2 linked regions of the Caenorhabditis elegans genome follow. The protein of the gene in region 2 purifies or fractionates together with the protein of the main gene of each other region. This does not show direct contact. Each region holds a gene or a part of one and is shown on either strand. Other genes may lie near its edges.

Region 1 (4,340 bases), on a different chromosome or scaffold from region 2:
TCGTAAATATACACTGTACTCCGTAAATCTACACAAACCTTCTTCTTCTCGGACTTCTGCTCCTTCTTGAGTCGAGCCGATCTCTGCGATCCTTCCTTTGCCTTCTCCGCCGATTTTGCAGGCACTCCACTCTTGGCCGGTGGTGCCGGAGCGGCAGAATTGCTCTGAAAAGATGGTTGTTACAGTGGCCGAGAAATAACTCTTCCACTCACCTTAATCTTCTTTTGTCGTTTCGAGTTTTGTTGTCTCTTCGAGTTTTGCTTCTTGTCTCGTTTTGATCGTTTCGATCGCTTTGATCTCGCCGATTTTCCTTTGCCACCACGCGAATTCTCACGATGTCCGGTGGTACAGCCGACGGCAATGATCGCTCCAGAAATTGACGCAGCAGCAGCGAAACACACTGAAAAACAAGGAAATTGAGATAAATTGATATTTCCGGCACTTTTGGCAATCGATAATTACCGGCAACTGTCGCCATTGCCTTTAACTATTACGAACCGGCAAAATTGGATTTATCGGCGCTTAGCGGCAACTATTGTTAATTGCCGGCGACTATCAGTAATCAATAAAATTAGAGTTTCATTGCCGGCGGTCAGCGGTGACTATCGTTAATCGAAAAAAAAATCCATTTGTTACAAGTAATGGCTGCTGCCGGCCACTATCGGCAACCGCCGGCGACTACCGGCAATCAATAAAATCGGAGTTATTGAAGATTGTCAGCAACCATTATGACACTTATTGATTTTTGTAGACACGCCGGCAACAGAAGCGGCAATGCTCCGACAACATCCTCGGCGATCGCTCAGCAACCATCGGCAACTTTTCCTAAACTCACGGTAATTCATGGCACCATGGAGGTGCTCCATATCCAAGCTCATTGTGAAGAGTCGAAATTTCGAAATAATTGATTTTTCGCCGAACAAGATTTGTGGTCCCGTGAGTTGAGATTTGATTATTTGATAAGAAAGGTCAGCACGGTCATTGACATTTTTTTAATTTTAATTTTTTTCTTTTTAATATTTTTGAAAAATAAATTTTAAGTAAAATTTTAGATAATTTTTACAGTGGTCTCTTGTTGATCTCGGCTGGAAGAGGAGTGACGTCACAGATGGCCTAAGAAAATGTGGTGTGACCAAGTTTTCCGCCAATTTCTGTTTCAGAAATTTGTTTAAAAATTTTTTTTCTAATTCAACACTAATTTCTCCTCAGAAAATTCAATTTTTCCGCCAAAAAAAAAGTTTCCCAGAAAATTTGAATTTCTCGTCAAGTTTTTTTAAATCAAAAATTTGAATTACCCGCAAATGTTTTTCTTTAAAGATTTCAAGCTCCCGCAAAAAAATTTCTGAGAAAATTAAAATTTTTCGTCAATTTTTGTTCAAAAAAATTGAATTTACTCGCCAAAATTTTTGTTTCAGAAAATTTGAATTCCCTCCCATTAACTCAAACAATTTGAAATTCCCGCCAATATTTGCCACAGAAGATTTAAATTTTCCACCAAATTCCGTTGTTTCAAATTTTAATTCCCCACTAACTTTTGCTCAGAAATTTTGAATTTTTCTGAAAAAAATTTGAACAAATTTGGCATATCCCTTTAAAAAATATAGATGGCAGATAAAAAACTACAAAAAAAATTTAAGTCGATTTTCCCCATCTCTCCATTGGAAAAATCGATATTTCTATACCTAATAAATATGAATCCGTTGACCTCAAAATATTTGTTTTCCCGACTTCAGAGACTATCTCCCGGGAAGATATATCTTCACGGAGACGAGGGATATATCTTTCGATAGGTCATTTCTTCTTCTTCTGCTATTCAATTGTTATTATTCAATATTTATACACCGAAATGGCCAAAATTCTCTTGTTCCTTCTCTCGACTTTCTTCGTTTTTTCCATTGTCTCCGGGCAACAAACAAACTATGAAAATTGTCTCACGAAGCTCAACAAAATGAAGAATATTTTGAATAATTTGAAGCTGGAAACTACGAAACACGGCAAAAATGTGAAAATTGGTAATTTGGAAACATTTTATCATATGTGCATTGACACAACGGTTAGTTTTATTTTTTTCAGCAAAAATTTGAAAAATAGAGTTTCGAAAAATATTGAATTTTCAACAAAAAATTTCTGCAAAAGTAGTAGGTGGCCTAGAAATTCTGCGGCCACCGATTTCCAATTTTTCTCAAATGTAGTTTGTGAACATTAAATTCGTTTCAAATAATGCCAAAAAAAATTCCATGGGAGGCAGGCGCGGTTTCAGGGCCTGCCTTCATCCTGCCCGCCTCAGCCTCTGGCCTCTCAACATTTTTCTACACAATGGCGAGAAGGAATATTTAGCACATTGGCAAATTGCCGGTTTGCCGATTTGCCGGAAGTTTTTAAAGGGATTTTTTCATAAGACGGAAACACTTAAAACTGTGCTTTTTTGAAAATTTTCCCGTTTTCTTTAAATATTTTCATAGAATCTGCTCACTTTTCAAAATATATGTAGGAAAATTTATAAGGTACGTACAAATCTGCCGATTGAAATTGAAATTCTGAAATTTCCTTTAAAAAATTGTGCAAAAGCACAATTTGCCCAAAATTTTCGGCAATCTGCCAATTTACCAATTTCCGGAAAAATGGTTTGGTCGCCACAAGGCGGGCGAGGTAGGCTTCTCTGCGCCTGCGTGGAAGCCTACTGGATAGAGCTTCTGTGATCACAACCAAGAAGTGGGCGGAACGAAAGGCCACGCCCGTTTAACGGCTCCCAAAAAAATTATGAGCATCAGAGGCCACGCCCAAAATTTGGTACATCACTTTTAGTTTTTTTTTGATATTTAAAAAATTAAAAGTTTTCAGAACTGCGTAGAATCAATGGAAATCCCAGAGCTACTAAAAAGTATTTTGAGATTCGGAACAATGTTCATGAGATCCGCCTGTGAAGACTTGGGCTTAAAAGTCGGACCATTCAGTAAATGCATGGAAAAGGTACCTACAAGCTTCTCCGAAAAAGATCCTCTAGAACATTTTATTTCAGACAAAATTCGACGTAACTACTCTGAAAAACACGACGATTGGAGAGGATAAACCAAAGTGCTGGTTGACACCTGACGAGTTTTCAGAGCTTCAACGGGTTGTTCAAGAGCAATGCGGAGATGAAGCATGGGAGGATATGTTGAAGAATGAGGATAAGGTCAAAGTGATGACTTGTGAAAATCAGCCATAATGTATCCAAACGACATTCCGATTCGCGGGGGTTGATCCCCTTTTTATCAAATGAAAAGCACCTATATTGTGTTCATTGTTTTTTTTAACCTTATTTTAACTTTAACCGGGAAACGAAGCCCAACTCAGGATATGGGCGGACTCTCTGTATTTTTCGATGTATCGATTTCCTTTGTTTGGATTTCCGGGATCTTGGTTGAAATTATAAATGACCAGGACATTAAGAAAACATTGGCCATAACGATTTATTTTATTTTTAAAATTCTAACAAACTATCATAAAACTGTCTCTGTTATTTATTATAGTTATTTATTATTTATTTATTATTTATTTATTTATTATATTTATATATTTATTCCACAAATTCAATATGCGAAAAACGAACGAAACCCTGTGTGCCACTAGGTAGGCGTCTGCGCACATTCTGCGCCGATTAATTTCTTTTCTATTTATCGGAAAGTGCGCAGACGGCGTCAAAAAGTGGGGCTGGAGACCAGCCACAGCCCCAAAAGGAGCTCAGCCCCACTGTAGGGGCTAGCTAATAGTGCATCTTTATGTTTTAAATAAAAAGTGCATTCAAAATTTGCGATACATCCATTTTGAGATAGTTTGTGAGCTGATAGCTTGTTTTTAACGATATATGAAAAATTGGTCATTTTTTTCTGCGGCCGACTTGTTGAGATGCTTGCAGAGATTATCTCTAAAATGTTGAGAAGTAGGAAAAAGTTGTCATCTGGTCAACATTTAGTTAGTTGATAGCACAAAATTGCATTATATAAAAGTTTCAAAATTGCCTTCATTCTTCAAACATCTTCATTTCGAATTAGGATTACCTGAAATTTTGATTTTCAAGCTATTACTAGAATTATTTGAAGGCTTGTAGATCCTGTTGCATCCAAAATATTCACGAATAAAATTCTCATTATCCAGCATTTCTTTGACGGCACGGGGGCCGCATATATTTTCTATTGGCATTGTCTTGCATTCATTGTCAGCCTCGAAATACTCGCATGTTGGAAGTTGTGCCTAAAAATCATATATTTGTAATGCAAATGCGCTCCACAGCACGCAAAATTCAAACTTATGTAAAAAAGAAATCTTACCGCATTATTCCAATGGCTTAAGCACGGCCA
Region 2 (5,538 bases):
GGAATACTGTGTTTGTTTGATCAGCGGGATAGTTTTGAAATAAAACTTGATTTTTCGATGAAGTAGGGATATTTCTCAAAAATGATTTTCTATTGAACCAACATATTAAAATTTAGCTACAGTAACCAAAAAAGGTCGTTTTCTTTGAATACTTCTGCATGGAGTACTGTAGCAAGAATTTCAGCTGCGTCGGGGATTACTGCTACCGTAACCTGCGAGCGGTGTCTGATTTTTTTAAAAGGTGGAAACTTAGAAATTCATGTGATTTTAGTGAAAAATAGTTTTTTTTTCCAAAATTTTTACGCTGTGCATTTCCTTTTTTTGGCATTGATTACAATTTCTCCCATTTTCCAGTGTATTTACCTCACATCATCCTCTGAATCAAAAACTTCATCCCCAACAGCTCCACCGAGATAATAATCATCATCCATTTTTTCAAAAGCAAGTCTACGCATCGTTGCTGCGGTCACTTCATCTGCTGGATATTGGTCATCGAACGTCTCATCGTCATCGTTGATCATCATCGTCTGCCGCTTCTTCTGAAAATAAAACACATTTATTACCCAAAAACACACCACAATACGAAGAAGGAAACACGATAAATACGAGAGAGTGTGAAAATGAAGAGAAAATGAGAAATAAATATATGTGTAGAAGAACCCATAAAGATGCAAATCACAAGAAAAATAAAAATGCTGAATAGAGTAGTAGATATAATAAAAACATATAAAGTTGGTTGGAACTAGTAAATGAATCATTATCTACAGGGGTCCGGGAATCCCGGATCGCGAAAAAATGTTTTTTTTAACTGAAAATTTCTGAATTATACTGTAGAATTGAGCCACAAAACTGAGTTTTTTCTGTAAAAATATTCGAATTAGAGCTCGGTACGAGTCTCCGCAGCAGATTGAGCCGCAGATTTTCCAGCAATTCTGCCAAACACCACACATTCAAGCAGGGAATTTCCAGCCAATCGATTGGAACCATGAACTCCGCCAGTGACTTCTCCAGCGGCAAAAAGGCCGACAATTGGCTTGCCATGCTCATCGATGACGCGGGTGGCCTCGTCGATTTTCAGGCCACCCATGGTGTAGTGGATTGCTGGGACGACGATTGCTGCGTAGATTGGCTCAGTCGGAGAGATTGCAGACACTGGGAACACCTGGAAATGGGAAATTATTACAGTTTCGGTATTTTTCGGCTAATTCCGATGCAAAAATAACTTTGTTTTTACAGTTTCGATATTTTTTTTTGCTGAACGATATTTTTTTAATTTTGAAAAAAAATTTAGGCTTGGGAAAGTTTAAATTGAAAATAGATCGTCAAATATTCGGGGAAAGATTTTCTCGATATTTTTCAACGTTTTACTCAAAGTTTCTAATAATACAATTTCAGCACAATTTTTCCTAAATCTATGAATTTTAGTTTTTCTTTCACTTTTCTGATTTTATAAAGTCTGTTTTAAAAGTAAATGCAATTTTGATCAACTTTTCAGAATTCTTAGTCATTTTTTCAAGAATTTTAAAATTAAAAATATTTGAATACCTTTTTGCCGAAAGGATCTTCAGATTTTCCATCAAAACTCTTCTGATATTCCTCCAAAGTGGTTTTAATAGCTGATTCGTCGATACCCAAAGCCTTTGCAAGCTCCGCGGAGTTCTCGTATTTCGCTGAAAAAAATCAGATTTCAGAGCAATAATACAATTTTCATAATATAAAACTAAAAATTAAAAAAATTAATTTGAAAAAGGGAATTTTTAAAAATTTCAGAAATTCCGGAAAAAAAAATTAGTTTTGGATTTAAAATGCTTTTAAACTCCAAAAAAAAGGAAGCTGATAAAATTTTCGACAAAAAAATCTTTAAACTGGGAATTTTTAATACGAAGATTTTGTCGAACTTATTCTCGAGAAGTGTTAATGGATTTCGAAAAAAAAAATGAAATTTGAAAAAAATTGTTTGGGATTTTTCAAATAACAAACAACTAATTTAAAAAATGTTTTCCAACTTTTTCACAGAAAAAAACCTACCAAAGAATTTCTTAACAATCGAATAAAAATTGAAAGCAGGTCTGCCAAAAGCCTCAACATTTGCTTCATTCATAATCATAATCGCCGCATTTCTTCCAGCAGATCCTCCTTGGAAACTCTCTTCAATTGGCTCAGCGAGCTCAAGAATCTTTCCAGTTAAATAATCGCGTCTTCCCAACTCATTTCCAAATCTTTGTCCCTTTGAGTTAATAAGCAGAGCTCCTTTTCCACGAATAGCCTCAGCCGCCAGGAACTTTGTTCCTGCTGATGGATCTTTTGGATCTACAAACGCTGTAGGATGAATCTGAATATTTTCCATTCCAATAATCTTTGCTCCAAGAGCTCTCGCAATTTTCACACCATCTCCTTTAGCGAATGCTCCATTTGTTGTTGGGAATCCGAATATTTCAGCTCCAAATTCCTTGAGCAAAGTTTCATCAGCAGAGAATCCACCGGTTGCAAGGATTACAGCGTCTCCGATGATCTTTGATTTCTCTCCAGAAGCTGATGTTACAATCTCGATTCCCGATACTTTTCCATTTTCTCTCAAAATTCCAACCATTTTAGTCTGAGTCAAAAGCTTGAAGGCTTCTGGATTCTCCGATTGCTTCTCATTAAGCCTTGTTCTCAATCTCTTCATAATTTCGAAACCAGCTGGTATTGGTCGTCCTTCCTTTGGAGATGGAATCCAATGAGTACGTGGTACAGAATGCCCACCACATAGATTCACATCAGTCAGATCCACTTCAACTCCACGCAGAAATTCAACAGCATCTGCTGAATTAGCAGCCAGAATTTCCACAAGTTTCTTGTCATTTTCAGAGTCTCCTGCACTCAGAGTGTCCTTGACAAGAAGTTCCGGCGAATCTTTGATTCCCAGTTTCTCCTGAGTTTCGGTTCCAGCACCGTTGATTCCGCTGGATGCCTGGAATATTTTTTTCAAGAAGTGAGGATATTGGACACTTTTTTTAAAAATCACCTAGACTTACTAAAACATTTTACTGTAATTTGGCATACTTAATTTTGAAATTTTTCAGAACGAGAATTTGTTACTCTTTTTTTTTATTTCCAGCTTTTTCACACGATTTAACTGTTTTTAAATTTGAAAATTTCTTACAATCGAAATTTTTTAATTTATCATATTTTTTCAGAGACGTTTCAGTTTTAAAGGAAAAAAAACAGAATATTATTTTTTTTCACAATTTGCAACTAATAGTAAAATAAATAACTTTTTCAGAAATTTGGAACAAAAAAATGCGAGAAAATAAATTTTAACAATCGATATTTCCAGAAGTTAAATAGATTTTTTTCAAAAATTCGCAAGATCTTACCTTCGCTGAATTTCCACCAGTATTTCCCTCTCCCTCTACCAAAATCACACGTCCACCTCCATTGATAATATCCAGTGAAGCAGACAGCCCGGCGAGCCCACCTCCAACAACAACGACAGTTGGCTCAGCATGAAGCACAGAAGCCATAACTGTAAGCGAAATGAGCACCCGAATCATCAAATGTCTGTCAATGGGGAAATTTCAACAACGGACACAAAGGGAAATTATAGAAAATGATAGAAAATTGGTTAAAACCGCCGAAAAAATTAGACAGAATTATTTTTTAAAAACCCATTATTTATGGAATGTCTAACATAGGAGAAAAACCGAAAAAAAGGGAAAATATAAAATAAATTAAAGCTGATTTTTGAATAAATATATTCACATGGATAAGGCATCTGGGAAGCATGAAAAAAAAGTGATGGGGAAAAACAATCAATAATTCATAACCGTAACTATTCACATTTACTTTTGATCTAGTAGTATCGATACTACAGTGCTCCACATAATGATACGGCCACCCCAAATTTTGGTATAACTCAAAACTGGGTTGAGATAGCAAAACATAGTTTCTTGTGAAAATGTTCGCTGTACTAACTTACTTTCAGATAAGTATTGGAAATATACCTGAACCGTTTGTAAAAAAGATAAACCATTTTTTCATGAAAAACCATATTTAAAAAATCCACAAAATGATACGGCCACCCTTGGTTTTCGTTTTCTTTTTTCGTTTTCTTTGCAATTTTTTTTGCTAAACGTTAAGTTTCATGTTCGTTTGTGTTTTTACAGTTATGGGTCGTGGAATAACTTCAACTGACTGCGAAAAAGGACAAATTGTGCCAAATTATCTCAAGGCTTCTCGAATCGTCAGATTTTTCGTGATTTGGAAACTTTCGAGAGATATGATCACTCGATATGCTTCCAATCCTGCCGCTTATTGCACAAAAAAGTCTTCTGGTCGCACACCTTTTCTTTCTGTCAGACCCAAAAAAAAAACCGTTCGTCGAGCATCCAATTGAACAGTGACTTGCTCGAAAAGTAGGAGCGAGATGAACCTGGCAGTGTCTGTTGAGGCCGTACGACATGTCCTTTTGAAGTCTCAGTTTAACAAAAGACGAAAATTAAGAAAGGCTCCATTCATTACCAAAAAACCGCCAAAACCGTATTCAGTTTGCTAAAATCAGTCAGGGAACTAACTGAAGACAAGTGAGGATTACGGTATAATCATTCAAGCCCAGTTTTTGGTTTCAGTTCATCTTCAGTGACGAGAAAAAGTTTAACTGTAATGAACCAGATTACTACCGTGATTAGTGGCACGATTTGAGAAAAGAAAAGATGAACTGAAACCAAAAACTGGGCTTGAATGATTATACCGTAATCCTCACTTGTCTTCAGTTAGTTCCCTGACTGATTTTAGCAAACTGAATACGGTTTTGGCGGTTTTTTGGTAATGAATGGAGCCTTTCTTAATTTTCGTCTTTTGTTAAACTGAGACTTCAAAAGAACATGTCGTACGGCCTCAACAGACACTGCCAGGTTCATCTCGCTCCTACTTTTCGAGCAAGTCACTGTTCAATTGGATGCTCGACGAACGGTTTTTTTTTTGGGTCTGACAGAAAGAAAAGGTGTGCGACCAGAAGACTTTTTTGTGCAATAAGCGGCAGGATTGGAAGCATATCGAGTGATCATATCTCTCGAAAGTTTCAAATCACGAAAAATCTGACGATTCGAGAAGCCTTGAGATAATTTGGCACAATTTGTCCTTTTTCGTAGTCAGTTGAAGTTATTCCACGACCCATAGCTGTAAAAACACAAACGAACATGAAACTTAACGTTTAGCAAAAAAAATTGCAAAGAAAACGAAAAAAGAAAACGAAAACCAAGGGTGGCCGTATCATTTTGTGGATTTTTTATATGGTTTTTCATGAAAAAATGGTTTATATTTTTTACAAACGGTTCAGGTATATTTCCAATACTTAACTGAAAGTTAGCCAGTACAGCGAACATTTTCACAAGAAACTATGTTTTGCTATCTCAACCCAGTTTTGAGTTATACCAAAATTTGGGGGTGGCCGTATCATTATGTGGAGCACTGTACATTTAGCAAAAAAACATTAGCAACGTAGCCGCGGAAGAGAAAGCTCGGCCATGCCGCAAATACAATTCATAAATTTGGCGG

The links. The genes of interacting proteins can lie anywhere in the genome.
Region 1: the proteins of F48E8.3 (region 2) and Y23H5B.8 fractionate together in Caenorhabditis elegans (co-fractionation; one large-scale study listed by BioGRID). This does not show direct contact.

The regions. Positions count from the first base shown.
Region 1 is NC_003279.8:2,545,834-2,550,173, reverse strand, and holds Y23H5B.8 (T20D4.11-like domain-containing protein), read left to right. Parts: upstream 1-1,774; 5' UTR 1,775-1,846; coding exon 1,847-2,053; intron 2,054-2,841; coding exon 2,842-2,970; intron 2,971-3,019; coding exon 3,020-3,208; 3' UTR 3,209-3,788; downstream 3,789-4,340. Other genes in the region: Y23H5B.3 (T20D4.11-like domain-containing protein), read right to left, coding at 4,021-4,233, 4,311-4,340.
Region 2 is NC_003281.10:5,459,384-5,464,921, reverse strand, and holds F48E8.3 (fumarate reductase (NADH)), read right to left. Parts: upstream 3,544-5,538; 5' UTR 3,507-3,543; coding exon 3,360-3,506; intron 2,954-3,359; coding exon 2,029-2,953; intron 1,671-2,028; coding exon 1,546-1,670; intron 1,163-1,545; coding exon 878-1,162; 3' UTR 540-877; downstream 1-539. Other genes in the region: F48E8.2 (E2F-associated phosphoprotein), read right to left, coding at 364-524.